2 linked regions of the Cricetulus griseus genome follow. The protein of the gene in region 2 interacts with the protein of the main gene of each other region in a biochemical or structural test. Links are inferred from orthologs where the notes say so. Each region holds a gene or a part of one and is shown on either strand. Other genes may lie near its edges. The genes, in order: Cops4 and Cops7a.

Evidence for each region.
Region 1: the proteins of Cops7a (region 2) and Cops4 form a complex in vitro, tested with the Homo sapiens proteins (2 studies listed by BioGRID). The link is inferred for Cricetulus griseus from reciprocal best matches to the Homo sapiens genes COPS7A and COPS4.

What each region holds. Positions count from the first base shown.
Region 1 is NW_023276807.1:162,545,296-162,560,169, forward strand, and holds the start of Cops4 (COP9 signalosome complex subunit 4), read left to right. Parts: upstream 1-5,680; 5' UTR 5,681-5,828; coding exon 5,829-5,902; intron 5,903-14,874. UniProt on the Homo sapiens protein: Component of the COP9 signalosome complex (CSN), a complex involved in various cellular and developmental processes.
Region 2 is NC_048601.1:21,446,139-21,461,012, reverse strand, and holds Cops7a (COP9 signalosome complex subunit 7a), read right to left. Parts: upstream 9,084-14,874; 5' UTR 8,941-9,083; exon of another isoform or gene 8,917-8,940; intron 8,714-8,916; exon of another isoform or gene 8,422-8,713; 5' UTR 8,374-8,421; coding exon 8,212-8,373; intron 7,871-8,211; exon of another isoform or gene 7,770-7,870; intron 5,859-7,769; coding exon 5,783-5,858; intron 5,587-5,782; coding exon 5,498-5,586; intron 4,454-5,497; coding exon 4,251-4,453; intron 3,427-4,250; coding exon 3,321-3,426; intron 3,168-3,320; coding exon 3,016-3,167; intron 2,847-3,015; coding exon 2,807-2,846; 3' UTR 1,964-2,806; coding exon of another isoform or gene 1,936-1,963; 3' UTR 1,638-1,935; downstream 1-1,637.

The sequences.
Region 1 (14,874 bases), on a different chromosome or scaffold from region 2:
ATACACACACACACACACACACAGCACACACACAGCACACACACACACAGCACACACACAAATACACACAGACACACACACACACACAAATACACACACACACACACACAAATACACACACACACACACACACACACACACACACACACATTCTTTTCTCCTATAAAGAGTCATGTTCTGGCTGGGCGTTGGTGGCACACACCTTTAATCCCAGCACTCGGGAGGCAGAGGCAGGTGGATCTCTGTGAGTTCGAGACCAGCCTGGTCTACAACAGCTAGTTCCAGAACAGCCTCCAAAAGCCACAGAGAAACCCTGTCTTGAAAAAACAAACAACAACAACAACAACAAAAAAAAAACAACAAGAGTCATGTTCTGGTACACCACGAAGGGGAGTCCAGGATGACTCGTTTGCATATCTGTAGGGAAGTAGTGAGAGGCTAGAGCCTGTCTAGTTGTCAAAATGGTAGATTCCTGCCAGAGAAACTGCACTTTGGAATTCATATACAAGTGGTGTCAAGATATGCTGGATGCTTCTCAACTTCTCAACTCTTTTTTTTTAAAAAAAATACTTAATTTTAATTATGTGTACATATGTGTGACTGTGTGTGTGTGACAGTGGTGGTGCCCCCAGAGGCCAGAAGAGGGCATCCATTTCTCTAGAACTGTGGTTTCAGGCAGATGTCAGCTGCCTGATGTAGGTGCCTGGAAATGAACCCAGGGTCATCTGTGTTCTTCACCACTGAGCCATCTCTCTCTCCACCCTCCACTTTCTTTTTGTGAAACACTGTCTCGCTGTCTCGCTGTGTTGTAGGGTCTGGCTGGCCTGGAATTTGCTATGTAGACCAGGCTGGCCTGGTATTCACAGAGCTCTGTCTGTTTCTGCTTCCCAAGTGCCAGTAGTAAAGGCATGGGCTCACACGTCATCCAGCTTCTCAACTTTAACTGCTCTGGAATTACGGGGTGGGGAGCATGTTATTAATGTGATGATGTTAATAGGTCTGAACTAAGAAACAAATTATTACATTGTTGTTTTTTAGATTTATTTTATGATTATGAGTGTTTTGTATGCATGTGTCTGTGTGTACCATATGCTTGCCTGGTGCCCACAGAGACCAGAAGAAAATGTCAGGTCCCTCAAAACTGGAGCTACAGACAGTTGTGCGACCCCTGGATCTGCTTTCAAAAAATTCCTAGGGATAGCATCACCAAGGCATACAGTGACTGGATGGGTCTGAAAAGTACAGTGGGACTGACCATTCTACCGGGCCCAGATTGAAGTCATACCTTCTGCTTCAGCCATCCTCATCAGACTCCTCCAGGAACAACCAATGGATAGAAATAAACAGAAAACATTCAACATGGTGGGGCTGTCACATTATTTAAGATTGTCAACATTATTTAACAGATGTGACACCTATCGTTAGCCAGAGAACTCTTGGAAGCCAGCAGATTTTGGAGATTCCCAAATCTATGGGTTGTAATGTTGAGGTTTGCCACCCTCAATTGTTCAAGACCCAGTGAACTTCAACATCCACTTAATTATAGTAATTCTTAATTTCATCCAACACCATGTACACCCACTACACCACACACACTAGACCCCCAAAGACCAAGGAGGCAGGTTTAAGGTACAACAGTGTCAAGGTTAGTGCCACGCCTTCCTGATTCTACCTTCAGAGATTGCAATTACCTGTAGTTAGTTACAGTCTGAAAATGTTACATGGAAAATTCCAGAAACAAACAATCCCTAAGTTTTAAACTGAGCACTGTTTTGAGTATTATGATAAATTCCCCAGACATTCTTCTCAGTGCTGCTTAGGAAATGAATCATTGCTTTGCTCAGTGAATCAGCAATGTGTATGCTGCCCTTCTGCCAGTCACTTAGTAGCTGTCCTGGTTATCAGCTGTCCTGGTTATCAGCTCTTATCGCTGTCCCTGCACGAAAGTAATCTTTATTTTACTTAATAATGCCCCCAGAGTGCAAAGGGCAATGGTACTGGCAAATCTGACATGCCAAAGAGGGCTTGGTTAGGTGAAAAGGTGAGAGTTCTCAGTAAGGAACAAACATTAATCATGTGGAAATTTCTAAGCTCCATAGGAAATTAGAAACTTTGCAAGTGAGACTGTTATGACTATTACATTAGCATGTGAACGTGCACTTATCCATGCATGCACACATGGAGGCCAGCAGTCTTCCTACATCCATCTCCATCTTACTTTCACAATACTGGAAGCTTGCTCTTTCAGCTAGACTGACTAGCCAGCAAGCCCTCAGGACCTATCTGTCACAGACTAACTTTTATTATATGGGTGCTAGGAATCCAAACCTCCTTGTACATTAAACTCTTTACACACTGAGTCATCTGCCCAATTCTTCAACCTGTATTTTTAAAATTACTTTTGAAAGATTTATTATTTTTATTTCGTGTTTGTGTGTTTGTTTGTTCGAATTTATGTGTACTACTTCTGTGTGGGAGCTCCAGGAGGCCAGAAAATGGTATTAGATCCCCTGGAACTGGAGTTACAGGCAGTTGTGAGTCACCATATGAATGCTGGGAATTGAACCCAGGTTCTCTGCAAAAGAAGCAAGTGCTGTTAACCACTGAGCCATCTCTCCAGCCCCTCGAGAGGCTTTTTGTTTTGTTTAACATCCTGGATTTTGAGCTGATGTAAACATGTCACATAAAATCACAGAATGCCGTTGCTTTGGACCAAGTTTCCACTCCTGCCCCTAGACATTAGACTATAATTCAAAAACGGAATGACTCACAGTAACATATAACATCAAGCTATTTATTCCACCTTAGAGATATCAAGATTAAAGAGATTTTTCAAACAAAGTTTTTCAATTAGCACATTGATGAAGCTCCTTCAATGTTTTATACTTTCACAAACAAAACAAAACAAAAAACCCCAAAACCTCAAAAACAAACAAAAAATTAAATTAACCTAAAGTAACTTGGAACTTTTCAAGTTACATTTTTCATATTGTCTTACAAAGAAATTAAGTTTGAAAGAGCCAAACCACTTTTCCTTTTACTTTTGAGACAGGATCTTAGTCTGTGGCACAGACTTAAATAGAATTCACTATGTTAGTCTGGGATAGCCTTAAACTTGCACGAGTCCCCTTGTCTCAACTGTCTGAGTGCTGGGTTTACAGGCATGAGCCACTATGCCAGGCTCACTTTTCTGTTTCTTTCCTTTTTCAGTTTATATATCTATGTCCCCGTACTTGGAACATTTACTCTATTTTGAAAAAATGACTGATTGTAAAATAAAAAGTATATCCAACTGAAGATCTTTAAATTGTTGTAGATTTATTTTTTGGCAACATTGAGTGGGATGATGAACTCTCTTCCTCAGGGAAGGAAGTTATTCTACTGCAAAAGGATACTTAGATAGACAGTTTATAGAAGAGACTTCCAATTCCCTCCATCTCTCATCCCCTGGGTCCATCTCTCTCATCTTCCTTTCTTCATTTTTTTCTCTCCATCACTCTTGGACGGAGAATTTAACCTAGGGCCTTATATATAGTAGGCAAGTGCTCTACCACTGAGCTATAAGGTATAAGTGTAGCCTTCTTTTTAGCTTCCTATTTTCATACAGGTTCCCGCCAAAGTTCTCCAGGCAGGCCTTAAGAGGCCTGTGGCAACAGACCTGACCCACACTTTGGATTCATAAGCGCCCCCCAAACCTTATTGGAAAGCAAGTTTCCAGTCTCAGTGATGCTAGATATTCTTGCCAAAAGAACATGATTGAATTGGTGTGGATACCTGCTATTTTGTTTCCCTTGTTCTATATACTTACCAATAGATAGAATATGCCATTTATAAAATACCAAGAAGGTAAAATGCTTTGAGTTTGGTATTTGTTGTAGGTAAGTAAGTCCGTAAGAAATTGCAATCCTGTCTCAGTGAGTTCAAGGCCACCCTGGTCTACAGAGGGAATTCCAGGACAGCCAGGGGAACACAGAAACCCTGTCTCTGTGGCTCCCATGCCACTACTAAGTCAAATGGAACCTCCACTTGTGGCGCCTGCTCCATGACTAAGTCCAAGTATCAGTCAAAAGCCTGGAGATTTCGTTAAAAGCAGAGCCATCTGGCCACTTGTGCTATGTGTGTCTGTCTTAGTGAAAGGAGAGAGCAGCCTTATGTACACTTACAGCACGGTGGAAAAAACCCAGGTGTAGGACCTTGTGTTTTTTATGCTGTGGGGTACGGCCAGGATTGTAATTCAGGACTGTAAAACAGGATGCACCTGTGATTATTGACTGGCAAGCAACTCACAGAGACACCGTGGGGGCTGTGGCCCAACATCTCCCCAATATCTTTCCCAACAGTCTCAAAAATGTCAAAAGAAAAATAAAGGAAAGAAGGAAGGAAGGGAGGAAGGAAGGAAGGGAGAAAAGAAGGAAGGAAGGAAGGAAGGAAGAAAATACTAAAATTCTCCTGTAAAGTACAATTTGGCAATATCTGGCAAAAATTGTGTGTACCTTGATTTACTTTTGGGAGTGTATTTTACTTGCATATATCTTAAACCATGCACATATAAGGTTATTCATTGCACCATTGGTTACTCTCTTAAAGCTACTTATATATCCTATAAAGACTAAATGTAATGTACCATCATTACCTTTAAGAATAATGCTAACAAAGGACTGGACTTACATTGCTGGATTGTCCGAAAAGTGAAAACACCAAAGATAGAACAACAAGATGTGTCATTTATTGTGAAAAGAAGAGAATGCAAAGTCTTGCACCTATTTGATTGTAATTTTGCAAAGTTTTGAAATAATACATAAATAATGAATGTAATCTCATCTAAAAGTAAGATGACCATATAACTTGTCATTCAAATAACGGTTTGTAAAGTGAAGGCAGTATCATTAATAGTTACTTCAGGACAATAGTTGAAAAATAACATTGTTCTGATGAATACTTTTAAAAGATATAGGATGTAACAGAGAAAGGGAATACACATATATAGTCAGTCCACAGGGATGTGTGTGTACATTAAATCTATTTCCTAGACTCTTGTCTCTCATAGGTTCTCTCATGGTCCAAGCTGGCCACCAACTTGCTAAATTCAGGAACATAGCCTTGAACTTCGAATCCTCCTGCCTCCTACCTTTGGAGTGTTGGTATTGCAGTCTAGCCTTTTTTTGCGGGGGGGGGGGTGCGCTGAAAGCAGTCCACTGATATTATTATAAAGTATGCAATTAAGTTTCTCACATGTGGGGAAGCGCAGACATCAGCACCTCTAAATGGTGGTGCCTTATCCTGAGAGAATTATTTTCTTGTCCGTGGTGTATTCCCTCCTAGCTAAATTGTGTGTGTGTGTGTGTGTGTGTGTGTGTGTGTTTGTTTGTTTTTGCTTTGTTTTCAATGTTGGACTATCTTGAATTGGAAATAAAAACTATAGACAGCTCATTCTTTACCATAGGTGATTTAGAGATGCCTTAAAAAAGAAGGGCAGAACGACGACCCTCAGACCCGGAACTTAGTGAAAACGCTGTAGTTTTAACGCGCCGGGCCCTTACTGAGGTTGCACAAGGTACACTCCTTCAAGGGTTTAAGCCAATCTCAGTTCGGAGCGTGAGAGCCAGCGTCTCTCGAGAGGCCTGGGCGGGTCTCAAACGGGAGGAGAGGAGTTTGGTGTCGCTCAACCCCGAGGGCGGGGCTAATTCCGGCTCCCACACTCGGCGCTCTAGCCCGTAAAGACGCGATCTATGGCACCTCGGGTTCCCTCTGCCTGCGCTCTGGAGGACCACACTCGTTTTCTTTTCGGCTGCGAGCGGTCCCGCAGCCGTGGCTGAGCTGGAAGAAAGATGGCGGCTGCCGTGAGACAGGATTTGGCCCAGCTCATGAATTTGAGTGGCTCTCATAAAGATCTGGCGGGCAAGTGAGTATTTCCTAGGAGTCCAGAGGTGGGATGGGAGGCACAAATTTACCTTCCTAGAGGTGCCGGGGGCTCTCGGGTGTGGGGCCGGGGTGGTAGGCCCGAGGGCTCAGGGGGGCGGGCCTGGTTCAGGCTGTGGCGGTAAATGCTGGGAGCCGCAGAAGACTGTCAGGGACCGTGTGCTGGGGTCCAGACCGCCCCGAGACCCGTGCTGACTGCAGCGTCTTAAGTCCTTGGTAACGTCCTCCACGGGTTCCTTTGGCTTCTGCAAGCGTGGCACGAAAGATGACGGCTCCATCGGCGGTGGCCGCCTTCGTTAGTGGCTCTGGAGAGCCCAACATACCGAGTTTGACTTCTGTTTGCTGCCGCCACCGCCCTCACCTTGGTGGAGATAAATTTATAGTCTGGGCTTTGATGCAGAGTTTTATTTGTTTGTTTGTTTGTTTTTTTTAAGAGAAGGCTTTCCAGGGTGACAGGGGCCGAGGAGTATGGCCGTTGTCATGTCGCCCAGAACTTCTCAAGTTTAAATAGCGTGTGTAGGTCCTTATGTTCTGGATACTCTCCCTCAGTCTCTGTCACCAGCTCTGCAGAAAAGAACACAGGCAGAATGTCCTCGATCTAGGATTTCTAGAACACTGATGTTTCCATAGGCTGTTTAGGAATTTTGTAGAAACCTTAGAATGCTTAGGTCCACTCCAAGTCATAATTTGTTATATATGTATGTATGTATGTATGTATGTATGTATGTATATATATATTTTTTTCTTATTATTATTTTATGAAGGTATCAGATCCCCTGGAACTGGAGTTACAGACAGTTGTGAGCTGCGAATTGAACCGAGGTCCTCTGGATGAACAGCCAGTGCTCTTTAACTACTGAGCCATCTCTCCAGCTCCCCCTGTTGAACAGTTTTAGTCGTTTTCTTTTTGTAGATTTCATAGGTTTGCTCTCTGCTGAAAGTCTTTGTTTTTCGAGACAGGTTTTCCTGTGTAGCACTGGCTTTCCTGGAACTCACTCTGTAGACCAGTCTGGCCTCAAACTCAAGAGATCCGCCTGCCTCTGCCTCTGGACTCCTGGGATTAAGGGCATGCACCCCCCACACCTAGCTCTTTATGCTGAAAGTAGGCCTCCAATTGATTTTACATGCTGGCAGCTGAGAGCACGTTGATCTAACTGTTGAACACTCTTGCTCAAGCCTGCACATTGATGTTGTGTAGATGTTGTATGGCAGCTGTGCTGCTTTTTTGCTGGTAAATTTAGTTATACCCCAGCCTTAACTACTTTATGCTTCCTTTTTCTGCTTAAAAAAAAAGTGGTAGTGTGATTGTGAGACTTAGTCTTACCTGATTTCAAGATGAGTGTGTGTCTGTGTACTTATCACACTAAATATCTGAGTTCTGTCCCTGGTATATAGAAAACGCCATAGAATTGTTACTATTAAGCAGTCGGTAAATATATACTGACTTATTCCAGGATTTGGAAGTAGTTGACTATGTCTTCATTGTTTAGTCTTTTTTGCATGTATTAATACTTTTTATTGGTTTGGATGAAAGTAAAACTAGCTTATGTATTTCAGAAAATGTAAGGCCATTAGTTGTCAGATAAGCTGTAGCTCTTTGAACTGGGAAGCATTCTGGAACTTTGGCTTACTCCTTAACTTCTTTAGCTTTGAATTGGAGATGAGCAGTAGTATGTCTCCAGTGGGTTGTTTCTTTGTCTGTTGCTGCTTAATAAACGTACAGTTTAGTGGTGTAAGCATACTTTTCTCCCCAGGATTCTTTGTGTCACCTGGGCTGTCTTCCTGGTCTTGCCTGGTTCAATTAAACAGATTAATTTGGCTAGCAGTTCAGTTAGGGCTGGGCTCATGTCAGTATCTGGCTGTTGGCTGGGTCTTTTATTCTAGTTTCATAGTGTAGCTTTGGCTTTCTTCTGGGCTTCTCCATTAGAGTGTTCTACCTGAGTGAGAATGAAAGCTGAAAGGCTTAAGGCTAGCCTGAGAAGTCTTCCATTGACTCTGTAATACTGGTGAAAGCAAGTGATTCAGGGGGAAAGGAAATGGAATGTACCACTAACTTTTTAGTAGCAAAGTGATATTGCAAAGGAGTCATTGGAAACTATTCTTGTGGCAGTTTACCATGTGAGTTTATTATTCAGAGCAAATGAAATGATTGGATTGATAAATGGTAGCCCATGTAGTACTAGCTAGCTCCTCCCTCAGTATCACTTTCTTTTCTTTCTTTTTCTTTTTTTTTTTTTTTTTGGTTTTTCGAGACAGTTTCTCTATGTAGCTTTGGAGCCTATCCTGGCACTTGTTCTGGAGACCAGGCTGGCCTCGAACTCACAGAGATCTGCCTGCCTCTACCTCTCGAGTGCTGGGATTAGAGGTGTATACCACCAACACCTGCTTTCTTTCTTGTCTTAGGATTTAGTTGATTATTTTTAATTTTTATGTATGTGTGAGTGTGAGTACCATCTGTGTGCAGGTGCCCATGGGTGCCAAAAGAGGGAGTCACCGGGAGCCCTCTGACCTGGGTGCTGGGAATTGGATTCAGGTCCCTGGAAGAGCAGCACCCTTGACCACTGAGCCATCTCTCCAGCCCTCCCTCAGTGCTGCTTTCTGGCCTTGTCTCTGGATGTTTGCCCAGTACTATCTGGGTAAGAATGTTAGGATGTTTACCCCTGTAACAAAACAGTTCTGCCAGCCACATAACTTTATGAAGCACCTATGCCATGTGTTTATTTAAGGTTTTTATATTGGGAACTGCGAAACAAAAGATATCTAATACTGAAGCCCTCTGTGTTCCCATACAGTGTATTGTTCAAGAAATGTTGGTTAATGAGTAAATGGCTAGAAGGGGACGTAACATAACTTCTATTTGAACCCATGTTTGTCTTAAAAGCTCACTTTTAACTAACCAGACTATATTGCTTTTCTTGCTAAAAACTCAATTAGAAGTGCTTTCTGATAATTGAATTAACAGTTATCAAATTTTGGTATAAGAAATTGGCCACATAAAAAAGCATTTTTGTTTTTATATACATTGGCTGCTTTTTCTTTTCATATAACATATATATTTATTACCTATTACAAAGCTTTGGAGAGGAGACTGGAGCATTGCTCAGCTGTTAAGAACACTTACTGTTCTTGCAGAGGACCTGAATTCAGTTCCCAGCATTCACAGGGTGGCTCACAACTGTTTATAACTCCAGTTCCAGGGTACACTTTTCTGACTTCTAAGGGCACCAGATACACATGTGGTGCACAGACATACATGCAGGCCACACACACACACATAAAAGTAAATTAATCTCTTTTCAAGAAAAGCTTAGAAGCTGGGGCCTTGGATTCCAGCTCTTGGGGGTTGGAGCAGGCTGATCTCTGTGAGTTCCAGGTCAGGGCTATATAAAGAAGAGAAAGAGGGACTGGAGAGGGAACATGTGAAGGTAATTGTTGTGATAGCCTGTCTTAACACAATTGGCTAACCTACTTGGTCCTCAACATTTGATTAAGTGGCTTCCCGGAAGCTTGCTCACATTCTCACACCTATCCCCACGTTAGGCCTAGTTAATTGGTCTGCCTGTGACCAGCTATAGCTTACTTTTATTTGGATAGATTAGATTGATTGTTCATTTGTCCACTTCCCTGACCAGAAAGTATACTTTTTATTTTTTCAAAGTAAACAGCTTTATTTAGGAAAAGTGAGAAAGAACTTCTGAGAATGGGAGGGACTGCAAGGGGAGGAATACTTACACACACAAAAAGAAACTTTGAAGGCACCTAGTAGTCAAGCCAGTTTATAGTCCATGTTTATGAACTCCTCACTCTAAAATATAGTCACCTAGTCACTTAGTAGACATTTGCATATTCTGAGCTGCAGGCCAGGTATACCCCATCTATCTACACTGAGATGCAGGCCAGGTGCACTGCTTTGCTTTTTCGAGTTGCATGGCTAATACGTGACAACAGGGTTCCAAAGTTAATAACACATTCAAAGCCTCTTAAGGTCCAGGCTCAGAACTGGCATTTCATTTCTGCTACATTCTATTGGTCAAAAAGTTTAGAATGGGATAGGGAAATAAACCTTTTGTTTTTGATGTGAAGAGCTACAAAGTCAAATTGAAAAAGAGTGTAGATACAGGGAGTGAAAGAATTGTGACCACTTTTTGAAGATAGTCAAAGTTAATCGGCTGAGCTTCACTGGGAAGCCCAATGGGTTAGATGGTTTAAACAGTTCTGGAAGTGTTTATTGGAAAATCTATTTACCTGTTTGCCTCTCTCTCTTTTTTAATGGCATCTCACTCTGTAGCTCAGACTGGCTTTGTACTTACTGATCTTCCTGCCTCAGCCTTCCAAGTATTGTGATTATAGGCATGAACAACCATCTCTGGTCCAAGTTAAACCTCTTCATTACCTCTTTTCTGTCTTATTTCTCCTCTAGACTCTAGTGAAACCTCTGTTCAGAACAACATACTGGGACTTCTATATCTTCTCTCGTGTATTTTTTCATTTCTATGCTTCATTCTAGATAGGTTTTTTTTAATCTGCTTTCTGTTTTAGCAGTTCTTGGGTTGCCTCTTCTAGTGTTGAGTATTTAAGCTGGTTATAATCTTTTTCAGTTCTGTAATTTCTGATGGTTTGTTTTCCAATGACATGACACCAGTTCCTACTTTCTTGTTGAACTTCAAAGCTTGCCTTACCTCCCTGGGTGTAATTATATTACAGTTTTTCTCACTTCAGAATAATTCCTAGTTGTTGCAATTGATTGTTGTTTTTATTGATGCTAGCTAATACTATCATGTGCCTTACTAATCTTTGTTTTTTGGTAAATAATTTTCAGAGATGTTTTTAGAAACAATTTGGAGCCAGGCTCCTGTGTGTCAGAGAATGTTCATTTCCTTCTGTCAGCACCTGCTAACAATCTAAGACGAAAAGACTTCAGATTTTTTTTCCTAGATAATCCTTGGTATTGAATTTGTAACCTTATTTCAAGTTGCTTGTGTTTATTTCCTGGTTTGTCAGGCAAAGAACTTGAATCACATCCTTCTAGCTCTGTTAGTCTCCCAGAAACAGCAACTGGCTTCTCATTCTTTCCAGCAGATTTACAGAGAGCTCCAAAGTAGAGCCCTCCCTTTTCTCTGTAGAAGTGTCTTCACCACCTCACTTCTCCCTCCACTGCCTTCAGGACTAGAAAATACTTCTTGTTCTTTTCCCTGCTTCCCATGTCTTTCTCCCCCCCCCCCCAGACAGGGTTTCCCTGTGGCTTTGGAGGCTGTTCTGGAACTAGCTCTTGTAGACCAGACTGGTCTCTAACTCACAGAGATCCTCCTGCCTCTGCCTCCCGAGTGCTGGGATTAAAGGCGTGCGCCACCACCGCCTGGCTTTCCCATGTCTTTTTCATTTACTTATTTATACTGTGTGCGTGCATGTGTGCAGGTGCACATGAGGCCACACCTCCTAAGAGTGCCACTCCCTTTGGGGGCCATTTCCTTTCAAACCACCACAGGGGGGTTAGGAGCCTTTCTGGTTGTGTTTTTATGTATTTAAAAAGGTTTCTTATTTTTATTTTATGTGTATTAGTGTTGGTTTACATCTGTGTGTACATGTATGCATGACTTGTGCCCTCGGAGGCCCAAGTTCATTTCCCAGTACCTGTCTACGTGGTGGCTAACAACCATCTGAAATTCCAGTTCCAAATCAGATGATCTCTTGTGGCTTCCGTGGGTACTGCATACTCATTGTTCACAGACATCTGTATAGGCAAAACATCTACACACAAAGTAAAAGTAAATAAATCTCCTTTTTTGTTGTGGTTGGTTGGTTGGATTTTTGAAACAGGGTTTCACTGTGTAGCCCTGGCTGTCCTGGAACTAACTCTGTAGACCAAGCTGGCCTCAAAGTCATGTAGATCCACCTGGCTTTGCCTCCCAAGTGCTGGGACTAAAGGTGTAGGCCATCACACATGGCATCAAAAAACTTTTAACTTTAGGTTAGGCATCAAATTTGCCTAAGTACTTACCTTTAAATATTAGTTATATAAAATACTCTCTAGAAGTATATAAATATAAGACTTAGCTATAACCCTGATTTAATAAAATATAATCGAATTTGAAAATAAATCAGTCAAAAATAAAGCATAACCTATCTGAAAATGTGTCCAGATCAGTAAATATGTAAATATAGGTTTAAGACCAATTTTAATTTGTATGTATATGAATTTGTGTGTGTGTGTGCATACTATAAGTGAGGTATATACATGAATTTGTGTGTGTGTGTGTGTGGGGAATACTATAAGTAAGGTATGTACATGAATGTGTGTGTATGTGTGTGTGTGTGTGTGTGTGTGTGTGCATACTTGTTTTTTTTTAATTTTGTTTTTTCAAGACAGGGATCTATGTAGCTAGCCCTGGCTGTCCTGGAACTCACTCTGTAGACTAGGCTGGCCTCGAACTCACAGAGATCTGCCTGCCTCTACCTCCCTGATTATTGGGATTAAAGGTGTGTGCCACTACCACCTGACTGTGTGTGTGGTTACTATAAGTGAGGTATATACATGAATGTATGTGTGCATACTATGAGATATGTACATGAATGTGTGTGTGTGTGCATACTGTAAGTGAGATATGTACATGAATGTGTGTGTGTGTGCACACTGTAAGAGTGAGAAGGCTAGAATGAGATACTTTGTAGGAAGTAGTTTTCTAACACAGTCCTGTCCCTTAAGGAGTCAGACCTAGTAATATGTAAAGTAACACTCTTGTCTCTAAAGGTTTACTGTTTCCTTTCCTTCTCACATCTGCCAGCACACCTGCTTCCATTGTGATTTTGCTACATTCCATAACCAGGAGTGGGATAAGTGGGCCCTACAAAATATGTCGCCAGTCTGAATGAGTTGGGGTTTTATTTGTGCAAGTTTTTCTTCCAGGCTTCATTCTGAACCACTTTCTGAATAACTGAAACGTTGTTAGGTTTGCAATCAAATTTAACTAGCTGGGTATGATGGCTCATGCCTATAGTTTAAACACTGGGGAGAAACTGAGACAGGAGGATTAATCTGAGGTTAGTCAGAATGATGCTGAGTTCCTGGCCAGCTTGGACTACAAAGGGAGATTCTAGCTCAGAAAACAAAAATAAATAAAATGTCTTTAACTAATGCTTTTTAAAAATAAGGTGCTGGACAGTGGTGGTGCACACTTTTATCCCCAGCACTCAGGAGGCAGGGGCAGGTGGATCTCTGTGAGTTCCAGACCAGCCTGGTTACAGAGTGAGTTGTAGGACAGGCTCCAAAAGCTATACAGAGAAACCCTGTATCAAAAAAAAAAAAAAAAAAAAAAAAAGAAAGAAAAAGCGTAAGTGGTGTAGGGAAGCTGGATTGTGGGTAAAGATGCATGGCTAGGAAAACCTGAAGACCTGGGTTTGATCTCCAGAGCCCTCATGAAGGTGAAGGAGAAAACCAGCTCAACAAAGTGGTCCTCTGATTTCTACATGTACACTGTTATTTTATGTGTAGGGGTGTTTTGCTTGTGTACATGTCTGCATTATGCATGCGCCTAGTGTCCACAGAAGCCAGAAAAGGGTGTCATATCCCTGGGACTAAAGTTACAGATGGTTGTGAGCCACCCTGTGGGTTTTGGGAATTGAACTTTGGTCCTCTGGAAGAGTAGCCAATGTTCTTAACTGCTGAGCCATCTCTCTGGGCCCAATAATAAATGGTTTGGTATTTTTGTTTCTGAGACAGGGTTTCTCTGTGTAGCCCTGGCTGCTCTGGAACTTTGGAGACCAGACTGGCCTTGAACTCACCTGCCTCTGCCTCCCAAGTGCTGGGATTAAAGGTATTGCCCACCACAGCCTGGCAGTAAGTGTTTTGAAAAAGACAAAAGAGAGGGCTGCAGAGATGAGTTAGTGGTTAGAGTGCTGGTCACTTACTCCTCTGGAGAACTGGGGTGGATATCCCAGCACCTACTGTGCATGGCTTACAGCCACTTATAACTCCAGCTCCAGGGATCTGATGTCCTTTCCTGACCTCCGTGGGTACCAGATTCATGTGACAGATGCTCTCACCAACAGATACATAAATTTGAAAAAATTTAAGAATCAATAGAAAGACACATGATAATTTTATACTGACTCAGTTTAAGAGGTAAAATGTTTTGTGCCTTACCCTTCAAGACATTATATATTTCAGTGAATGAAGGAAGCTCCCTGTCCTCTTGGAACTTGTGCTTTAGGAAGGAACTTACCGTTGCCTGTTAATTGTCACTGTGTACTATTAGCATTTCTCTCACTCTTGCTCTAGTGTGGATTTGAACCTCATGTGGTGATGGATAGTAAGTGGTATGTTGCTAGATCTGAATGCAGACATCTGACAGCATAAAGAGCATTCTGTTGGTGCTTTTGGCTTGGTGGAGTTTGTTTTGTATGTGCTGAGACACTCAGTCTTGAGTATTGGTTTTGTCTAGGAAATATTATCTTATTGTTGAGGATCCTAGATTCATGAAGTTGACAAGCTGGTCACCTCAAATAATGGTCTTGTGTGTCTGTATAACATACATTTAAAGAAACATGTAGTTCATTTTAAAAACACTTGAGTGAGCTGGGCATGGTGGCCTCACACCTTTAATCCCAGCACTTGAGAGGGCAGAGGCAGGCAGATTTCTGAGTTTAAGGCCAACCTTGTCTACAAAGAGATTTCCAGGACATCCAGGGCTACACAGAGAAACTCTGTCTCATAAAAACAAACAAAAAGACACTTTTTGGTTGTGAGTGTAGCCTTTACTGGCTGAACTATCTCTCCAGCCCCCAAATTAGCATTTTAGTTCTAATTCATATTGGAAGTTTTCAATAAAAAGGCAGGTTAGATTCAGTTATATAGAGTTAGTAACATAGAGTTAAGAATTTATTCCTCTTCTGATGGGTTTGAAAATTAAAAAAAACAAAACAAAACTGGTACCCAATATTAAAAACTATAGGTAGCAT
Region 2 (14,874 bases):
GAAGCACTGGGGTTGCAGCCACACCCTTTCAGAATCTACAGTGGATTCTTGGAGCTGAACTCAGGCCATCAAGCTTGCACAGCAAACCTGTTATCCACTGAGCCATGTCTTCCTCCAGGCCCTGGGGCTTAATCATTTGTCATGTTTCATGTATGTGAACGCTGGACTTCCATGACTTAGGGCTGGACATCTAAGAGTGCCACACAGGAAGGACCAGCACATACGGGTATGCATGTGGTTATCGTTCTTGTTTAGAGGGCTCCCCTAGTGTCCTGAGCACATAGACTCCTTAACCTTTGAACACATTTCATGATTAAAAATCAAGCCCTCACCAGGTGTTGGTGGCGCACGCCTTTAATCCCAGCACTCAGGAGGCAGAGGCAGGTGGATCTCTGTGAGTTCAAGGCCAGCCTGGTCTCTAGAGCGAGTGCCAGGATAGACTCCAAAGCAATACAGAGAAACCCTGTCTTGGGAGAAAAAAACAAACAAACAAAAAAACAAAAACAACAACAAAACCACCCAAGCCCTCAACAGGCATAGTGGTATGCCTTTAATTCTAGCACTTGGGAGGCAGAGGCAGGCGGATCTCTCTAAGTCTGAGACCAGCCTGGTCTCCAGAGCGAGTTCCAGGACAGCCTCCAAAGCCACAGAGAAACCCTGTCTCGAAAAACCAAAACCAAAACAAAAAACCAAAACAAAAAAAAAAACCCCAAAACAAAAACAAACAAACAAAAAAACCCAGACTGCATTAGTGTGTCCTGAGGGACGTGAACAGTCCCTGCCTCCTTCTCAGGCAATTCAATGCCAGCTTAGGATTTCAGAGCTGTTAATGTTAAACGTAGAAGTAGTGGTCTGGAACCAACATCCACAAAGAGATGACTAAATTACAAGGGAAAAACTGGGGCATAGGTAGGGGTCAGAGGGCAGGCTTCAAACACCAGAAGCTGGCACCTTCTGTACACTGGAGGGTCTGGGACAAAAAGTGTTTACTTCAGAAGCAAGAGAATCAACTAGCTTATCTAGGACAAAGCTGAGAAACCAAGAGTGACAACTAAAGCAGGTTTGGTGGTACACACCTGTGATCCCAGTACCCAGCCGGAGACAGGAGGGTCCTAATTCAAGGTCATCCTTAGCCACATAGCGCGTTCAAAGCTAGCCTGAAATGCACAAGACTGTCTCAAAACCATTAACTACCCTCAAATAAACAAACAAAAACAAGACACCAGGACTCTGTCCCTACTTTATAGTCCAATGACTGCTAGGAGCAGTTAAGAGTAATTTATCTATAGTCAGGCATGGTGGCATATGTCTTTAATCCCAGCACTCTGTGAGTCTAGGCCAGGGACTAGCATCTCCACTGCTCAACACAGGGAAGGACAGTCAGGGCTACATAGAGATCCCTATCAAAAAAAAATTGTTTTTAAAAAGGAGATATTTCCTAAATCCCCAGTTAGAGAACACAACAGGCCCAGTCAACCAGACCCACTAGGCCCCTCAGAGACAACACTTCACACCAAGTGAGGGTTCAACTGCCCACCTTCAACTGCATTCCCCTCCTCTAGGAAGCAAGCAGTGCTCTAGGCCGATCTCCTGCCATACTTCTTGGGAAACTCTAATTTGGACAAAAGGGCCAAAGATCAACAAAGCTAATAGTTTTATGCGTTTTCAATGTGAAATTTCAAATTCCCTACCAACACCTCCCCTTGTAATTCTACAAGGTGAAAGAAACAGGCTACACTGCAGGTCCTGGAGCGTAGGGACAGTGATGGTCAGTCTGCATCTCCACTGTTAAGACATGGTGGTGGTCAGGAGGTGCCCATTACTTCTGAACATGGGCTGAGGTATGGAGCAATCTGTCCAGGGTCTAGGCCTCCTGGCTGCTAGTCAAGAGTCTGCAAACAGTATCTGGTTCTTTTCACTTCCCAGCACTCGGCTTTAGAGTGGACTGGGATTGATCTTCTCCCTGTTAACAAACATCAAAGACAGAAGAGGCCCAGTTCCTGGCATTTTTGTACACAGATTTCTCTTAGATTTATTTCTGTGTCATGTTATATATAGACCTATTCATATATACCTTTTTTTTTTTTAATATACAATCTATATTCCCTTCCCCACCAAAATCACAAGAAGAAATACAAATCATTCCAGGATTTCCATTGGGTTTCCTAAGATGATTAGCTAACAAAGAACCATTTCTTAACATCTCAAAAATAGCTGTTCTGGGGCTCTGGGGTCACTGAAGCAACAGTATTCCCAGGCCCAAGGAGATGAGACAGGACAAGAAACAACTGTAGTGTGATGGGATTCTGGGATGAAAAGTGTTCAGCGACTCCCAGAATGGCAGACTGGCTCCAGAACTCTAAGGCTGGGATGAAGGTGGAGGACACCCTTCCCAATAGCTTTTCAGGTGCAGCCCAATAGGCACAGGGAAGGAGGAACTGCAGGTTAGGCATGCAGGGGTGGGCGTGGTAGAGAACACCTGTGGGTGGCGAAGAGAAAGCACCCTCCATAGGACTGCCAACCTGGTTGATGACGTGGGTAATGGGCAGACACAGTGCCGAGTGAAGATGAGAGCAAGCGTGTCAGGGAAGAGAGGCAATGGAACACATAACAAGTACCAACAAGACGTGACCTGGACTGGCCTTCTCCCTATAGGGGATGTGGCTTATGCTTGGGGGTGGAGGAGATGAAAAGTCATGAGCTAGGATTATCAGCTGGCCAGGGGCACAGAAGGCTCTGAGGACTCCTAAGGGGTAGGCAGGTAGGCAGCTGGGACCCCACATTCCCAGGGAAGAAACAAGTCCTTTCAGTTCGACTTGGACCAAATCTTGGCGCTCCCTCGGAGTCTGGCAAGGGGAAGAGAGAGAGAGGGGATGCAAGGGGTCCCCTAATTCCTGGAGGACACCCCCATTCCCGACCCCATGCACATGACTAAAGCAAGTGGAGCAGCCAGGCTGAGGCCCCTGAGGTAAATGTGGGGTACCCAGAAGCAAGCGGCTCCCCGCACGGGCTCACCCCTTGCCCTTTGAGGCTTTCTTGCTGGGCTGGCGCTGGTTGGTGCCAGGAGCTGGTTCTCTCAGCTCGGTCAGGTGTTGTTCTGGATCCTGAGAAGTGGCTGCAGCAGCTGCCGCTGTTGTAACTTTAATGGTTTTTTTAAGGTTGGCAACCTATCAGGATGAAAGGAATGGCAGATAGCAAAGTAGGTCCAGAACCTGACAGATCCTGATTATCTTATCAGTTTGCCTCAGCCACATCCAGCACGTGCACAGGCCAGGAGCCCAGGGCAGTAGCTGTAGCTGACCTGTTCCCTACCTGCTTACCTCACTCTCGATCTGTTGCTTCAGGCCCAGCTGTTGCTCCTTGTGCTGGTTGGCACGGCTGACTTGCTCCTCGATGCCGGACAGCACGACCTCACAGCCTACACACCTGTGGGAATCAGAGCAGATGAAGTGTTAGCAGAAGAGGCCTGTGATCATAAACTCCTAAAAACAAAACAAAACCTCAAAAGCAAGCCTCCAAGCTGGACTCGAAACCCCTGCCAAGGCTGGGAGCCCTCACCAGGCACCCGGGAACCAGCTACAACAGTATTTTCATCAGCAAACCCCCTGGAGTAGGAGAAGGAAGGGATAAGGGAGTAGCTGAGTGACACACACAGCGTGGGTGGGGCTGGGCGCTGTTGGGGAAATGGCTCAGTGGTAAAGAAGATGCATTGCTCTTCCAGAGAGCCTGAGTTTGGTTCCCAGCACCCACACCAGGCAGCTCACAACCACCAGCTCCAGTGGGATCTGACGCCTCTAGCCTCTGTGAGTACCTGCCTTCACCTGCACCCCTCTACCACACACACAAACACGAGTGCCAGGCACGGTGGTGTGTAACTGTGCATGCCTGTAATCTCAATACTGGGAGGCAGAGGCAGAAGGATTTTGAGTTCAAAGCCAGCCTGGGATACAAAGTGAGGTCACAATGAAGTTATAGGGATACAAAGAAGAAATTGGAAGAGAGACCCATGGCCCATGTGTTATGTGCCTATGACAGTGACAAACCTCCCATGAAGAACCCCCAAGAACCCCAATTACTGCTCCAACAATCCTGCCTCTTAGCACCCAGCATCTCCTTCAAGCTTGTTCCCTCAGAAGCTTCCAGAGCAAAGTACTGGTTTCTTTCTCTCCAATTGGACTAACCCTCTGCAGCCCAATCCCTGCTCTCTCCTGCTCACATAAGGGGATGGTTAAGGCCTGACAAGTTCTCACCACTCCTGCAGGGTTCGGGCAATGGCACTGAGGTCCTGGCGCTGGATGTCTCTCCCGATGCTGTAGTCAACCTCCAGCCGCTGATTGCGCTGGTCCAGGGAGCCCCGCAGGATATCTGCATACACGGCCTCGATCACAAGGTCTTCCAGCTGGCGCACGTTACGAAGGGCAAGGGCCTCCAGCAACACTGCATATGGGATACACTGGGTCCAGGGTCAGACCAGGGTTTGTGGGGCTCAAAAGCAGAGGACTTTCCATATCCTCCTCCCTCTTTTCCCCACTGCTGAGTCCCACAGGTCCTCCATTCCTATCTCTAAACCATTTCCCAGGAAATGTTAGTTCTAAAGCAAACGTATCACCACCTCAAAACATCATCAGAAAAGGACAATCCTTCCTTCTTTTTCCTTTTCTTTAATGTACTCTGACCCAGGCTCTTATTCTATAGCCCAGGCTGGCTTGAACCTCACTATGTAGTCCAGGCTAGACTTGATCTTACACTAATCCTTCTGTCTCAGCCTCCCAAGTGTTGGATTACATAAGACATGACCCCAGACTCAAAAAGACACTCTTAACACACAGAGATGCTACCCTACTATGCCCCACTTGCCCCAGCACAGTGAAAGAGTGCGACATCTTCCTGGGCCATTTCTTTGGCAGTAGCTAAGGATATTGTATTACATCAGCTTGACATCAGAGGACTATACATAGGAGGGGTCTGGAGTTACTCTGTTTAACACTTGGACTTAGCCAAGTTACAAACTGGCCTCACCTTTGAGGCCTCCTCAATTGTGAGTCTGATCCCAACAAAAGTCACCAGGACTCAATTCTAGCTAATGCCTGGGAGAGTGAAGACTAGGAACACGTGGTGTAGTGTAACAAAAAGCTGGGCCCACAGGGACACAGACACTTCTGAGGTACACATTATGTCTTATTGTAGCACACAAGCCTGGCAGTTCCAGGGGAAGAACCCCATTTCTAGCTCTGAGGCTTTGTTGTCCTGGGACTCTGTATGGTGAATGAACGAGGATTATCAGGATCCCAGTATCTATTTTGACACCAAACACAAAAGATGGTAACTTAGAACTTAGGTTCAAACTGAGAAACTACAGCCTCCATGACTGCAGTAATGGAGTTTCAGTTCAGACCTAGACAGAGTGAGGTCAACAGCTGTCCTGGTGGAGACTCCCAGTGACAAACAATAGGCAGTCTCTGGCTTTGGACTGGTAGGCGGCAGGACTGTCACTTACCTTGACTTTGGCAGCCAGAGTGACAACTGAGAGATGCCGAAGCTTATTCTTCTGAGCCTCGGTAAGTGGGGGAAGATTCCTGGCTTCAGCTAGGGAAGGGGACAGAAGCCCAGGCATCTTATTTTTAGCAGTTTCTTACAAGTTTTCTGCACCAATTACGGTCTTAGATTGCCCAGAGGTTCACTTACGCCATCTAAGTGGGGCACCCCAGAAATTTCTTCCAAGTCTCTCCAGAAACCACCCTTCCCCTGTCTCCATAGCTCCACAGCTCCAGCCCCCATTTACCTAAGTAGTCAGCATAGGTCCCATAGGCAAACACTGTGAGCAGCCGGAAGGTGGAGGCAAAGTCGCTTTCTGCCAACTGCAAGAACATCAGGGAAGTGACAAGAAGGAGCTATTTGAACTCAACTTTCTGACCCATCCTCCCAAGAGTACCTATCCTGGTTCACCAAAAGGCCTTCTATACATTTCCGAGCATACACTGTTGCTGAGGGCTCACTCCTACCTCGAGCTCTTTTGTTATGCTATGCATCAAATTCCTACTCTAAATCAGGGGTGTTTGGTGTATCATACACACACATCAGATATTGTAAGTTAGTTTGGCTCTCAGAGGGCACAGAATTTGTGGCCTCTGCTTCTGACTGTCCTCAGTGAGGTGGTCTTACATCATCCACCAGTATCTCGAATCACCGCTCACTCATCCTGGCATATCAGACATGCAGCATCTCACCTAACTAACAATAGTTTTTAATAAGGCCAGAGACCCAGCATCCATTAGCCTACAAGGATGCAGCAGAATTGCAGCCCTCAAACTAAACTCTTGCTAAATAACTGTCTTCCACAGTTTCATCCATTTATCTGATCTCTTTAACTGAATACAAGCTTGAAGGGCAAACCTGTAGCCTTATATTTTGCAGAATACTAAACACTGTAAGGCAATTAGAAAATGTTTCTTCTACTTATCTTAAAACTATACTTTAGTTCACTGTAGATAAAATCAGGAACAAAAGATAGCGCCAGTTTTCTATAAACGGCAACCCAAAACACATTATATCCTCTAATTCAACCAGAGGCCTCTTAAAACTCGGCTCAGTTTAGCCACACTACTGTTAGCCTCTCAGGACAGAGGCCAGTGACACAGTGTTGGCCATCCATTTGCTCTATACTTCAAGCTCTTGACTGGCCATTTGTTATTGATGCTCTTTGCTGTGTTCATAGCAGTTTACCATTGTCTTTGGGAAGAAGACATTGTCTTCATTATCTACCATAAACGAATTTGTATATTCGACACTTGGGGAGGTAACATAGCATGATAATATGCTCATCTTTACATTTTTAGGAGGCTTTAGACTTTCCCATAATTTTACTTCTGTAATTGTTGAGAGGCAGTACTTTTTTCCTTTTTGCAGTTCTGAGAATCAAGCTATAGAGAGCCTTGCATGCTATAGACAAGGGCTCTTTCACTGAGCTACATCCCTACTCCTTTTTGAGATGGACTCTAAGTTGCATAGGCTGGCCCAATATTTGTGATCCCCCGCCTTAGCATCCCAAGTTCTGAAAAGGACCCCGAGGCCCCACGAATGCTAGGCAAGCACTCTTATCAACTGAGTCATGTTCCAGTTTCTCATCACCATTTTTAGGAGAAAAGTGAGCCTTTTAATAAGGTTTCTCTGATCAAGGTGACATTTTTTTTTTCTTTTTGTTTTGTTTTGAGACAGGGTTTCTCTGTAGCTTTGGAACCTGTCCTGGAACTTGCTCTGTAGACCAGGCTGACCTGGAAATCACAGAGGTCCGCCTGCCTCTGCAAGTGTGTGCCACCACTGCCAGGCCTTGGTTTTTTTTTGTTGTTGTTGTTGTTTTTGTTTTTTTTTTTTTTTGAGACAGGGCTTCTCTATGTAACAGCATTGGCGGGCCTGAAACTCATTCTGTAGACCAGGCTGGCCTCTAACTCAGAACTCCACCTCCCTCTGACTCTTGAGTGCTGAGATTAAAGATACCCCTCCACTACTGAGCTGGTGACATGATTATTAAGAGGTATCACACTGGTGGACAGGCTGAACTTACAAGCAGTATTCTGAATGGCATGTACTTTTGCTTATAAATTAAAAAATCCAGCTGGGTGGTGGTACATGCCTTTGGTTTCGGCACTCAGGAGGCAGAGGCACTTGAATCTCTGTGAGTTCAAGGCCAGCCTGGTCTACAAAGCAAGTTCCAGGACAGCTACAGTTGTTACAGAGAAAAACCTTGTCTGGAAAAACAACAAAATCCTTGCTTGCTTTGGCAGCACATACACAAAAAATGGAACGATACAGAGATCAGCATGGCCCCTGAGCAAAAAATGACACGTAAATTCGTGAATCGTTCCACATTTTTAAATAAGAAAAAAATTAAAATCCGGCAGAAGGCCTAATAGGCAGGAGGATTGCCACAAGTGCAAGGCCAAGCCAGACGATGACTACTACTACTAGTCTAGGGCAGCCGGGTCTTCACAGAGAAACCCTGTCTCAAAAAGATGTGTGTAGAGGGAGGGGACGTTAGATTTACAGACCCCCTTGATCTCCAAAGAGAAATGAAAGACCTTTATTTAACTGGTGGTTAGTTACCAACACCCTGTTGACCTGAGTGGCTTACTGGTTACAAAACGAGCCCAGGCATTCTTGGAAGAAACTTGGGCCCCAAGGTTCTCGGTTGGACTACCCGGGCAAGCAACCCACCTCTCTAACATTGGGCATATCCAGCAGTTCCCCAAACACGTAGACACCAGGGGCCTCCAGCACCTGATGGATGAGTGTGGCCAGCGCTGCCCCCTTGGCCGACTTGGCAAGGAGCAGAAACTGCTCCTGGTTCTGCCCTGTCACCTTCACCTCGGCGCTCATGGCTGCACTGAGGTGCGGGGGCTCGCTCTGGTCTCAAGTTGTCTGGAGCTGCAAGGAAGAGAGGATCGATCGTGAAGCTCAGGGGCCCGGGGCACTGGCGGGGACGGGTCAGCTCGAGGGCAGGGAACCGCACTCCAGAGGCAATCAGTAAGCCAGCCACCTCTGCAGTGAGAAATCGGGTCAAGAGGTCTTAAAAAAAAAAAAAAAAAATCCAGCTCTAGCTTCCTTGGAGTGGGCCGCGGCCCGGCTGCCACGCCCACCCTGCGCGGGGGTCCGGGGCCTAAAGGCAAGCCGCCCCGCGTGCACCCCGCTGGGCCCGCAGGCAGAGGCGGCAGAGGCGGCAGAGGCGGCGGCGGCGGCGGTGAGGGACGCGGTGGCACATGGTGCCACCCTAACGACGACGCACCCCCGCCCGGCTCGGGACGCGTGTGCTGCACGTGCCCGCGGCCACGTGACCTCACCCCCCGCGCTCGCGGCTCCACCCCTCCCTTAAAGAGGCCGCCCAGGACCGGCGGCTCCGCACCGGAGGGGCCGGGCTCGTACCCTGGAACCGGCCGCGGCCGCTACCTGGAAGCCTCGTCCTCCAGCGCACGGGGCGGGGCGGGGCGGGCGAGCGGGCGGGCGGGCGAGCGGCCGCTCCGTCACCTCCGGCGGCTGCTCCCAGCCTTTCCTGCCACCTCCCGCAGGGCCGCTCTAGCCGCGCGCTTCTATGGGCAGCTTCCGGCCGTCCTTCCGCTCTCGGGAGGCGGCTTCCGGGCGGCTGGGGCCCGCTTCCGCTTTCCGACGGCGGCTCGGGACGAGCGGGCTTCCGCTCTGCGGAGAGAGGGTTCTCGGGGGAAGAGCGGTGGGTGCGCGGTGCTGCGAGCGCGGGGAGACGCCGGGGCCGCCGGGACGCCCCCCACTCCCCACCCCACCCCCCGGGAGCTGCAGGGCGGAGCCCAGGGCAGCGCGGAGTTTCTGGGCGACTTAGCGTCGCAGGGACGCGTGCCCGAGTTAGTGGTAGACGCGGCTCGGGTAGTTGAGCCACGCGTGTTTTTAAGAAGAGGAGTTTGGTTTTTTGGTTTTTTGGTTTTTCGAGACAGGGTTTCTCTGTGTAGCTTTGGAGCCTGTCCTGACACTCGCTCTGGAGACCAGGCTGGCCTCGAACTCAGAGATCCTCCTGCCTCTGCCTCCAGAGTGCTGGGATTAAAGGCCACGCCCGGCTAAGAAGAGGAGTTTTAAAAGGCAAAGGGGCCCCGAGTGGTGGCTCATGCTTGCTTTTGCGAGGTAGAGGCGGGGTGTGGGGGGGGTATCCAATCAGGAGTTCAAAATCAGCCTCAGCCATATAGCACCTTCCAGGCCAGTCTGGGCTATTTGAGAACCTGTCTCAAAAGGAAGCAAATGGTAAAGCGGGGGAAATGGATTGGTCGGACTTTTACCGTTTTCTTCCGTGAAGTTTTCAGAGCTTTACTTGGTGACCACACTTGTGTGGCCTTGGTTACCACCCAGTAGTCCTTATGTTTTGACGACTGGAATCTCAGTTGACAGGAGGAAAGTGTTAGTGGAACGGAGGCAGGTGAGGAAATTTAAAAATTAAAAGGGTTTAGATGGGAGCTGGGCGTTGGTGGCGCACGCCTTTAACGCCAGCACTCGGGAGGCAGAGGCAGGCGGATCTCTGTGAGTTCGAGGCCAGCCTGGTCTACAAGATCGAGAGTGCCAGGATAGGCTCCAAAGCTACACAGAGAAACCCTGTCTCAAAAAACAACCAAACAAAAAAGGGTTTAGATGGGCACTTGTAATCCCAGCATTCAGGAGACGGAAGCAGGGGGATTGCTTTGAATTCGAGGCTAGCCTGAGCTACAGTGTGAGAGACCCTGCTTTAAAAAAACTTTAAAATCTTGGGGTGGTGGTGCACACCTTTAATCCCACCACCCGGGAGGCAAGGCAGGTGGACTCCTCAGTTGCAGGCCAGCATCATCTGCATAGGGAATTCCAGGGTACCCAGAACTACTACATAGTGAGAGCAAGTCTCAAAAAACACAACAAAACCCAAAAATCCTTACAGAAAACTTTCAATGTAAGGTAAAGCCAGATGTACTGGTGCATATCTGTAATGCCATCACTCCGGAGGCTGAGGCATACGAATAGAAAGTTCGCATAGAATGACCTCATATCTTGAGAGAGAGAGAGAGAGAGAGAGAAACAGAGGCCTAGAAGTGTGAGCTTCCTAAGTAACCTGTGAGACAAAGGAGCACGGGATCCGAGTGTTCGCTTATTTGGTTCCATCACTTCTCAAAGGTAGACGCAGTGGTACATGCTTGCCGTCTAGCACTTGGGAGGCTGAGACAGGAGGATCTTAGGTTCAAAGGTAGTCCAGGCTGTGTAGTGAGTAGTGAGTTCCAGGCCAGTGTGAGTTACATACTTGTGTGAGAGTGTTGGGGAGAGGGGGAGAAGAGGCTTAGAAAAGAAGGCAACAAAGACAGAAGACAGAGAAAGGAGAAATTCTCTGAGATTTAGTCTTGATTCACCGTCAACAGCCTGTCCTAGTTTGCTTGCTTTTTTTTTTTTTTTTTTTTTTTTTTTTTTTTTTGGTTTTTTCGAGACAGGGTTTCTCTGTAGCTTTGGAGCCTATCCTGGAACTAGCTATTGTAGACCAGGCTGGTCTTGAACTCACAGAGATCTGCCTGCCTCTGCCTCCCGAGTGCTGGGATTAAAGGCGTGTGCCACCAACGCCTGGCATAAGATTTTTTAAAAATCCTTTTTTTGTTTTCCAGACAGGGTTTCTCTGTGTAACAGCTCACTTGGTAGACTAGGCTGGCCTAAATATCATAGATTAGCTTGTCTCTGCCTCCAAGCGCTGGGATTAAAAGCATGTGCCTAAAATCTTAAAAAGAAAATGACTTTATAGCCAGCAATGATAGCACACACCTATAATTCCAAGAGTTGGGAGGCTGAAATAGTATCACAAGTTCAAAGCCTGGGCTACATAAAATGATCATTTCTCAGAAAAAAAAAACTAATAATCTAAAGGCAAGTTGTACAAAACTTTTAAATTGTACATCATGGGCTACAGAGGTGGCTCAGCTGTTAAAAGCTAGGGTGATAACTAAGAAGAGTGTAGATCATTTAAATTTTATAAAACATTTTCCAGAAAACAGGAAAACTTAGAATGCTTATTCTATGAGACCAGAACTATTTTGATAAAATCAGACAGAGGCAAAACTAGATTGAAACAAAGTCAGCATCTCTCACCCAATACCAAAATTGTCAGTAAAATATGAATCCCGAAATTTCAAAAATGGAGGGTATCAGGACATCTTGAAGCCAGATATGATGGCTTGTGCCTATCATAACCAACATTTAAGATGCCAAGGTAGGAGGATTGTTCTGAGTTCAAGGCCAACCTACACAGTGTGAGATGAAGTCTTAAACCCCTCAGTCAGAAGGTACATGGAAATATAAGTATGTATGTATGTATATATGAATGTATACATATATATATATATAAATTTATTATTTATTTATCTGTATGTGTGTGTGCACATGTACCAAAATGACTGTGTAGAGGTTCTTTCCTTCCACGTTCCACCATGGTCCTGGGGATTAGACTCAGGTCATCAGGCTTGGCAGCCAGTGTCTTTACCCCTGAGCCATCTCACTGATTCTCAAGAAGATATTCTCAAAAAGGACGCAGACAGAAACACGAGCTTTATTAGACACCAAGACATGTACAAGACCATAGGTGTAGTTCTGTGGTAGGCTATATGCTTAACATATGTGAAGCCCTGGTTCAATCTCCAGTACATAAAGAAAGCATAATGGCTGGTGGTGATGCACACCATTAATCTCAACCCTAGAGGCAGAGGCAGGTGGGTCTCTGAGTTCGAGAATAACCAGGGCTACATAGAGAAACGCTGTCAGGAAAAGACAACAACAACGAAAACATACCATTGATATACATAGAGACAGATGGACCACCGGATCATAGTAGCCCTGATCAGATTCACACATACAGACAACTTGATGTGTGACTGCACTTTCGAGCAGGAAATAATGAACATCTCACTGATTCTGAGATCTGGGTATATATGAAGATAGATAAAATTGAATCCTTACCTCAAATCATACACAAAAATCTATTCCCAGCACACTACAGAGTAAATATAAAGGGCTTTAGGAGATAATTCAGAAGAATATACCCACAAATTCAAGACAGAGAAGTACTTATTTTTGCTTCTTGAGAGAGCTTGTCTCTATCTGCAGTCCTGCCTGGCCTGGAATTCTCTAGTTTTCCTCTGCTTTTGGATCATAGCCTGGGATGGAAGATAGGTGAGGACTGCTAAATGCTCGTTCTAACCATAAGGTGAAAAGACCGGTGCATTTGGCAGCATCTGTTCATCAAAACACAAGCCACCAGATGGAGATATGGGTCAGTTAGTAGAGTGCTTACCTGATATTTACACTGGGATTAATCCCTGGTAGCACATCCACCGTTTGGTGGTACAAGCCTGTAATCCCAGTGCTCAGGAGACTGGGGTGGGACAGTCATCTTGGTTAACTAGTGATTGAGGCCAGCTGGGCTATGCGAGACCCTGTCTAAGAAAGACCACCAAAGTGAATACGAATTGGGCTGGGGAGACAGCCCACTGAGTAAGGTGCTTTCCCACACAAGCATGTACAGACGTGGTACAGGTACAGTTCCTGGTACCCATGTGAACCACGCTGGGCACAGCAGCATACACTTGTAATCCCAGTTCTGGAGATAGGGAGACGGGATCCCTGCAGTTCACTGGCAAGTTAAGATTAGCAGAACTGGCAAGCCTCAGGCCAATGGGAGACCCCTTCTCAAACAAGGTGGATAGCTCCTGAGGAATGACACCCAAGGTTATTTTCTGGCAGCCACACAAGCACACACACACACACACACACACACACACACGAGAGAGAGCGAGAGCGAGGACAACAAAAAAGACGTGGTCATGGTGAGGCCCCAGGTCCAAATTCCGGTACTTCACAAACAGAAAGAAAAGATAATGCTTCAATATACTTATCCTTATTTAAAAGATGCACCCAGGATGCAGAAAGAACCACACAGGAAAAAGAAAAACAAAGCCGAAAGCCTTAACAATAAGTTATAAATGTGAACTAGAGGTTTGAACCAACACTAAACAAAAGAAATATTCAAGAAACAAACAGAAGAAAACTTCCTCAATTTCATTTGTAATGCAAATTACAGCCACAATTAGTAGCATTGTCCACACTAGAGCTGCTAAAATTAAAGCCTGAAAATACAAAATGTTGCCTGGGATTCAGAACAAAGAAACACCCCTACACAGATAATGAGAATACTAGTGGTTAAACATTTTGTTTTTAAACATAACCGTCCCAGATTGCCCTCAAATTTATCTGTTTCCTGACTCAGTGTTGGAATACAGGACTGCAGTACCATGCCTGGGTACTTAAATCACTCTGGAAAAAGTTTAGCATTATCTAGTAAAGTGATAATTTAACACCCACATATATAGAAAAGACATATGACATTACTACATACATTATCTCCAAAATGAAACAAATTATATTGTTAAGGAATACATACCCATTCATAGAAACTACAAAGAAAAACAAGGGGACTGTGGATAGAGCTCAGTGGAGTACTTCCCTATCTTGCACTCTTCCCTAGGGTTGAGACACAGCATGGCATAAACTGAGCATGTAGCCTGTGTCTGTCATCCCAGTGTTCAGGAGGTGGAGGCAGAAAGATACAGGCATTCAGGCTGCTTCTGAGCTACATAGGCAGTTTGGGCTACGTGAGACGCTGTCTAAAAAAAAAAAAAGAAAAAAGAAAAGAAAAGGAAGCTGCTAGTAGTATCACCTTTAATCCCAGCACTTGGCAGGTGGATATCTGTGAGTTTGAGGCTAGCCTGGTCTACAGATCAAGTTTCAGGGCAAGCAGAGCTATATAGTGAGAGACCCTGTCTAATAAGAGAGAGAGAGAGAGAGAGAGAGAGAGAGAGAGAGAGAGAGAGGAGAGAAGAGAGAGAGAGAAAAGAACAAGGAAGTAGTTTTCATAAAAAATCATTATGCTACCTCACACTAGTGAGGCATGAAAAACATAATTGGGCAGGACACTGTCTTTTGAACCACATACAAAGCTGTTTTTATTACGGTGATTATACAGTGTGAATGCTGTTACTCAGTTTATAACCATTCCCTCTCTAAGTACTCATTATTTTTTATGTTTTGCTACCTTTATATTTCTGTCTATTACATTTCAAAATAAGAAAGGCTTTCAGAAACATTTCATTCAGGGCTGGAAAGACAGCTCTAGAGTTAAGAAACGTATCATTCTTGTAGAGGATCAGGGTTTGGTTCCTGGCACCTACATCAGCTGGCTCACAGCTGCCAGTTCCAAGGGATCTGATGCCCTCTTTTGACTTCTGCACGCCCTGCATGCACATGGCACACAAAGTCATGCAGGTACACACATATGCACATAATAAAACACATAAACCTTTTAAAAAA